2 linked regions of the Zea mays genome follow. The protein of the gene in region 1 interacts with the protein of each later gene in a biochemical or structural test. Links are inferred from orthologs where the notes say so. Each region holds a gene or a part of one and is shown in the gene's direction. Other genes may lie near its edges. The genes, in order: protein GRIP and ADP-ribosylation factor 3.

Evidence for each region.
Region 2: the proteins of protein GRIP (region 1) and ADP-ribosylation factor 3 form a complex in vitro, tested with the Arabidopsis thaliana proteins (2 studies listed by BioGRID). The link is inferred for Zea mays from reciprocal best matches to the Arabidopsis thaliana genes ATGRIP and ARF3.

The regions. Positions count from the first base shown.
Region 1 is NC_050097.1:205,749,585-205,753,411, forward strand, and holds part of protein GRIP, read left to right. Parts: exon of another isoform or gene 1-192; coding exon of another isoform or gene 193-208; intron 209-636; exon of another isoform or gene 637-640; coding exon of another isoform or gene 641-650; coding exon 651-766; intron 767-1,056; coding exon 1,057-1,226; intron 1,227-3,067; coding exon 3,068-3,161; intron 3,162-3,827. UniProt on the Arabidopsis thaliana protein: Golgi matrix protein playing a role in tethering of vesicles to Golgi membranes and in maintaining the overall structure of the Golgi apparatus.
Region 2 is NC_050099.1:27,788,382-27,792,110, reverse strand, and holds the end of ADP-ribosylation factor 3, read left to right. Parts: intron 1-88; coding exon 89-136; intron 137-2,351; coding exon 2,352-2,482; intron 2,483-2,734; coding exon 2,735-2,768; 3' UTR 2,769-3,069; downstream 3,070-3,729. UniProt on the Arabidopsis thaliana protein: GTP-binding protein involved in protein trafficking; may modulate vesicle budding and uncoating within the Golgi apparatus.

The DNA.
Region 1 (3,827 bases):
AGATTAAGGTTAAGCTTCTGTGGTATGATTCATGGACTATGAATGTATTATTATAATTTTGATCCAATCACATGCTAATGTTTGCGTGATAGAGAAGAGGGAGACATCAGGGCATCAAAGTTGACCTGCAATGACTGCCATGATTACAATGACTGCAATTGCATAATGGATTAACAATTAAGCTTCTGTGCTATGACTCATGGACTATGTATGTATTGTTATATTTTGAGCCAATCACATGCTAATGTGTGCGCGATAGAGAAGATGGAGCCCTCTGGGCATGTGCAAGGAAAAGATGGTCATGTTCTGTAGTTCATTACAACTCTTCTGCATGTTGATTATTTTCTAAAAGGGTTTAAAACTGAGAAAGTTGTAATTGTAAGATGACTGTGAATACATTATCATTTTGCAGTTTTCTTGTGCTTCGTTCTACCTAGATTTGCCAACGGATAGTGGTACAATGCAATAACTTCTAAAGTGCCATTTAGTTATTGAAGAGGATAAACTTCTGAATTTTATTTTGGATTTGCTGTATCTTAGCTTTATCATATTACACCTTGCTATATCATTTTTATCTGTAACACAACCTAGTTCTTGCTGCTACTTTTTTTGTTTCAGAATCTAATTCATCATTAGTTCCATGCATGTAGCTGAACAAAAAATGGAAAAGGAACTAAAAGAACGCGATGACAAATATCTTGAGCTGGAAACCAAGCTTCAGAGGCTTCTCAAGCGTGCAAAACAACGTATACAAGATATACAAAAGGTAACAAGTAACCAATATTTTGTCTGTCCTATATCCACATTAGCTTGACAATAATAGATCCTTTACTTCACTACCCCAGTATCTCCCTAAATAGGGAAATTTCTGCTGTCCTATGTGCACATTAGCTTGAGCATGAACTAATACAATTTGATTCAACGATTGTTGTGGTGTAATCGACTCTTTGCTGCCTGTTTGTCATGTTTCGTGAATGTCAAATAGCATTGTCATCATATACTGAATTATTGAAACAAGAACATGAACTTTAGTGTTTTTCCCTAACACATTTACAGGAAAAAGTTGATCTGGAAGCTCGGTTTAATGAAGTTAATCAGAAGGCTGAGCAGGCTGCTTCTCTGCAATTAGCAGCACAGCAGGAACTGGAACGTGCTCGTCAGCAGGCTAGTGAGGGCTTAAGATCAATGGATGCTGAAAGACAGCAGTTGCGGACAGTGAACAGCAAGTGAGTGACTTTATTGATCTCATTGTACTATGCATGTGTCATATTTTAACAACAACAACAACAACAACAACAACAAAACCTTTTAGTCTCAAGTAAGTTAGTGTAGGCTAGAGTTGAAATCCAACATAAAACACAAGTCAATGTCTAGTCACATGAATAGCTGTTTTCCGTGTACTCCTATTCAAAGCTACATTTTGGATGTATTCCATTTTTGAGTCTCCTTTTACTGTCTCTTCCTATATCAACTTTGGTCTTTCTCGCTTCTCTTCCCATCGCTATCACGCTTTAGGATCCCACTACACAGTAGTGTTAGGTCTCTGTTGGACATGTTCAAACCATATCAACCAATTGGACAAGCTTTTCTTCAATCGGTGCTATCCCTAAACTATCACATGTATATCATCATTCTGGACTTAATCTCTTCTTGTGTGGCCATAAATCCAACGAAACATACACATTTCCACAACACTTATCTGTTTAACATGTCGTCTTTTTGTAAACCAACATTCTACATCATACAACATAGCAAGTCTAGTCCCCGTCTTATAAAACTTGCCTTTTAGCTTCTGTGGTACCTTTTTTGTCACATAGTTAGCTAGATGCTTGACGCCACTTCGTCCACTATGCTTTGATTCTATGGCTAACATCTTCATCAATATCCCGTTTCTTTGTATCATTGATCTTAAATACCAAAAGATACCCCTCATGGGCACTACTTGGCCTTCCAAACTAACATATTCTTTCTCATGTATAGTAGTATCAAAGTCATATACCATATATTCGATTTTAGTTCTACTAAGTCTAAAACTTTTGTACTCTAATGTCTTCCTCCACAACTCTAGTTTCCTATTTACTAATTACTCTTGCCTGACTTTCATGAACTAGCACTACACCGTCTGCAAAAAGAATACACCTAGGGATATCCCCTTATATGTCCCTTGTGACCTTATCTAAACCAAGAAAAAAGCTAAGGGTCCAAAGCTGACCTTTGATGTAGTCCTATTCTAATCAGGAAGTCATCCATGTCTCCATCACTTGTTTGAACACTAGGAACACTAGTCACGACATCGTTGTAAATGTTTTTAATGTGTCCAACCTCCAACGTACTTCCTTGGAACTTTATGTTTATTCGAAGGCCAATACATAACATTTTTTGGTATTTTAAAGCCTTCTTCAAGTTAATGGAAACAATATGTATGTCCTTCTTCTGCTCCTTATACTGCTCCATCACTTGTCTTGTTAAGAAAATGACTTCTATGATTGACCTTCCGGGCATGAAACCAAATTGGCTTATAGAGATCCTTGTTATTCCTCTCGGATAATGCTCAATAACTCTCCCATAGCTTTGCAATATGACTCATCAACTTAGCTCTCTGGTAATTAGTATAACTTTGAAAATCTCTCTTATTCTTGTAGATGGGTAATGTGATTTTTAACGTTGTGAAATATATCATTAAGCCTTTCATTTCTCTCCTTGCTTGGGGTGAGTGAAACTGAGTGGCATAGTTATATGGAGCCTGACTACGTTGAGCTGCAGCTCCTCCATTATAGTTATAATCCTATATCTCATTGTACAATGCACGCGTCATCTCTTAACATCATGCAATAGCACTAGGTTTTTGTTTCTCTTCTTTCTTTGGGTGGGTGGAACTGTATAGTTATATGAATCCTGACTACGTTTACGTTGAACTTAGCTCCTCCATTATAGTGATAGTCCTATATTTATATCTGTAGGCTGTAGTTTCTCCATTGCTGATGCAATTAGCATCTTCAATATTTCCTGAATCTTACCAAAATGACATGCTAATTTTAACATAATATATAATTCAAACCATGTGTAGGTTGAGGGCTAACCTCGATGAGACACGGCTTGCCTTGGAGGTCAGAAACAGTTCTCTTGAGAAACTGCAACAATCAGTGCTTGAGAAAGAGCAGGTATGTAAAATTGTAAATGCAATGTTTCTTGGCATTTTTTGTTTTTGTTTGGTGATCTTTAATAGTAGAAATGCATGACCTAAAATTAGTTAGTAAGGTGTTGTAGGGCACATGGTTGAATTCTAAAAGTTCTGTTATGGCTTTAAGTACCAAGATCTTCTATCTGGTGCTTATTTGGAGGGAGGAATGGGACATAGCTCCAGCCAGCTAGCATTAGAATGACATTGACTGGGTGAATGCTAGGGGTGAAAACGGGTAGCGTACCCGAAACGGGTACCGGATACGGATACTGATTCGGGACCATTTTTCGGATACGGATACGGGTATTTTTTAGATTCAGGACGGATACGGGTAATACCCGGATAGTATGGCTTCGGATTCGGGTCGGATACGGAGCGAGTACTACCCGGTAAATACCCGGATATTCGGGTCGGATACGGGTACCCGGAATTCGGGTACCCGTTTTTTCTTTTTCTGCAAAATAATATAGTTATAAAATCATAACTTTTACATATGAAATCGGATGAAGATAAAGTTTATATGAAAATTGTAGAGCTCGAAGAGATCTATAACTTTGTAGTACATCACATTTTTGTTTAAATATATCTTTAGGCCAAAATCATTAAAATAATGTCTAAATTTATATCAAAATAATAGACTTTATCA
Region 2 (3,729 bases), on another chromosome or scaffold:
TTCACCCCCAAATTAGAAAGGCTAGTAAGCATGAGTTGCCCTTAAAAATGTTACATTTACTGAATTGATGCACGTCTTTACATGGCAGGAGGATGAACTTAAAGGTGCAGTTGTCCTTGTGTATGCAAATAAGCAGGTAAAAAGAAACATTTTCTCATACTATTGCTAAATTTGTCATTTTCCGTGATTATCAGAATTAAACTTCATGTTTATATTTCTTAGCATGTAAGCACATGAATATTGACGTAGGCATCAGCAGTCAGCGCTTCAATGCCTAAAATGTCGATATTTGTACTTTTTTGAACGTAATGGCAGGAGCTCTGCCTCTCAATTAAGAAGAAAGGAATTGACCCAGTTTTAAGGAAAATCGGGCCCAAAACGTACACAGGGTGCACAAGCAACCCAGACAACGGCAGTCCCACACACAAAGACCATCCAGTGTCATTGTTGCCGAGCTCAATACAAAGGGCGAGTAGCTCCGACTCCTCAAGACGGGCAACACAAGGCCAAAGGAGAACCGACGATGATTACACCCAAACACTGGCACGGAAGGAGGAAGACCGCGGTGTGCCGTTGTTGTCGAGCCTCGAGACGTCCCATGCGAGGCAGCTCCGATTCTTCACCAACAAAGACTTCCAAACTTGATCCTCCGCCCCGCCCCGACAAACGCTCAGCCTCTGAAGCAATCTAGCCTACGAAGAAGGGGGGCTCGCCTCACGTCATCGTTGTCGAGCCACATCCCTTGACGTAGTAGCTCCGACTTCACGTTGCAAGACCGCACCTCCACCCGCATACCGGACGCTGAGAAGCGAAAGCAACAGCCGAAAAGTGACGTCGTGGCCGAGACGAACTTCAAAAGCGACGCCTTTAGGAAGGTAGTGACATCGGGGATGCCACCGTCACATGTACGAGATGGACCGGGCTTTCACCCAAGGAAGCCAGTGCTGGGGAGTGCGACGCCCTCAACAGGGGAAGCGACGCCCATGGACATCACCGTCGCCGAGGCTTTCGTCCAAGAAGTCCCCTAGCACAAACATCAAGCCAAGACCCCGGGACAACGCAGGCTACCTCCGCCAACGTCGCTGCCCTGACATCCCGCCCAAACCCTCCCAGAGGGACATCGACATGCTTGCTACCGCAAAGTTGTGTTGGATGCCACCCCCACCGGCCGGGCACACGGAATCGGGCACCACCTTGCGGCGAGTGCCCCACTGCCACAGGCCAGTGTCGCTGCACCCCCTGACGACAACTCGGCGGCCGCGAGCACACAGCCCCTGCAACCTCTCCCCTCCCGAGCCGCCAGGAGCACCGTGCAAGAGGGCCGCAAAATCCTCCCAAAGAGCCAGCCAACCGGCAGGCCGATGGCACTGCCGACCGGCGCTAGCACCGAAGCTCACGCCCTGCCCCGTGACAGCACGTGCCACGGCGCACAGCGGAGCAGCCACGGGTCGTGTAGGACGCGGACACCTGGCGGGCGAGCACGCCACCGCCGAGAGACACGCACACGCCGCCAGCGGGCTAGTCCGCCCCGCCCCTGTCCGCCACCTGCGGCGTCCACGTGGGCGCACAGCACCGCCACGGCCACCAAGACCATGTCCCGAGCGCGGATCCGGGCGCTCGCGACGCCAACAAGCGGATGCCTCGCTGCCACCGTCTTAGGGGTCCGCGCGAGCATCCCGGTCTGCCTAGGGGTGGTAATGGATTGTGATCCAAATAGTTCTTCACAAAATGTCAAGGCCCTAAATAAATTATAGTTCAAAAATGACTAGAAATAAAGCCCGATCCTAACCCGCTTCGATCCTTAAATCTTATAGTGCAAAAATTATAGCCCATTGTCAGCCCTAGGTCTGCCCCTCTGGCAGCGGAGAGAAGGGGAGTGGGGCAGCAGCGTCTAGGGTTTCGCTGCCCGAGTCGACCAGTCGACCACGCGGGGAGCGATGCCGGGGCTGGTTGTTGGAAATGAAACTGGACTGTCGATATTTGTACTTGCCCTGTACTACTTTCAATATGAAGTGTACTGTATTTTTGGTAATATAGTCATCTTTTCCCTGCTACACAAGCTCCCTGCTTTAAGATGGTTCATGGTTGTATATGAAGTGTAGCTATAACATCTGTTTCAAATGTTTGGCTCCTTCAGCATATAGCTTGCACACTCTTGTCAAATTGTTTGATGAGGTTTCTATAGCTGCTATGAGATATGTGTGCAGTTCAGCATGGTGTACTCATTTGCAGAAGACATTTGTTTTAGCTTGTGTGCCTTATGTTACTTGTACCCTGTAGGTTGTAGCTTTGCTGTACTGTACCGTGTTTTTTTTGGCATTTTATCTGACATGTTAGTTGTTTTCATGCAGGATCTTCCAGGTGCACTCGATGATGCTGCCATTACAGAGTCATTAGAACTACACAAAATTAAGAGCCGCCAATGGGCGATTTTCAAAACATCTGCAATAAAGGGAGAGGGGCTCTTCGAAGGTTTGGACTGGTAAGTGGGGTCAAATTTTCATGTCCTAAGCGATGTTTCTGTAAGATAATGACAAGTGGATGAACTTCTTTAATAAACCATTCGTATCATCAGTTAAAATAGTTCTTCCTACATTATCAAGTAGTGGCTGTACTGTCCGTGGATCAAGATGCAGTTCTATGTATTAATTACAAAAAAACACGCCTTTTGCATTTACGTGATGCTCTGGAGACATTATTGGAGGAAGCAACTTATGGTTGGCTATTATTGCAGGCTCAGTAACACGCTCAAATCTGGAAGCAGCTAAGGAGCCTCCGCCTCGTCATGAATCATTTGCTGGATGGTAAAGAATAGCCGATGCTTGCAAGTCAGCGCGCAAATCCCATTCTCTTTGTTTTAACTCCAGAAGTTCTACACCGCCATCAATTATCTGTAAAGTGCGTGTTAAATTTTTTGGATACTACATTAGATGTACCCCCAGGTTGAGATCAAGAATAGGTCTGTGGAAAATGACGAGCAAACTGTGCTACTGTCTTTACCCGTAAATCTCATGGATCATGACAAGTTTTTTTTTGTACCCCAATATGATTAAACTTACTCCACATTTCTATGTTTTCGTATCAGTGATCATTACAGAAACTGCTCTTAAGCACCTTCTGCTACCACTTTTACACTTCATTTAATCTCTGTCACCGCGTTTGCGGCAGAGGGATCATTACAGAAGCCGTCGCAACTCGCAAGACGTTGCGATGCGAGTTTAATCGGACACCTGTGTTTACTCGCTTGTGAAGAACTTTGTGCTGGAATTGATATACAATCATAAAATTATCTTAAGGCTGAGTTTTTTTTTATAAAAAATGTATATATTCCTTGGGGAAAGAGCAGTGTTGCATTTCGGGGGCGGATTGAGCAGCTGTTTTCGTGATTGAATCCTCCTTCCTGTGTCAGGAAAAAGATTTGCCGGTAGGCCCGGGCGTCCACTCCAGGCTGGCCTTAGCACGAACCAGCTCACAGCTCCGCCTGACAAAACGGCCTGCGAATTGACGTCAGCAAGGATGTCACCTGAAAGCAAAGGTTTGCGCTGTACGGCAAGTCACGTGTACATAGAATAGAGATAGACTGTAGTTTGTTTTGTGCACCGCGGACGACTGTTCAACCGTCGTCTCACGTCAGTTGCTCTGTACTCACGACTTGGCCCTGGATGGAACAATCGCTTGCCAAAACGTTCATTTGATAATGAATGTCATCCACAGTAGGACACCTGTTGT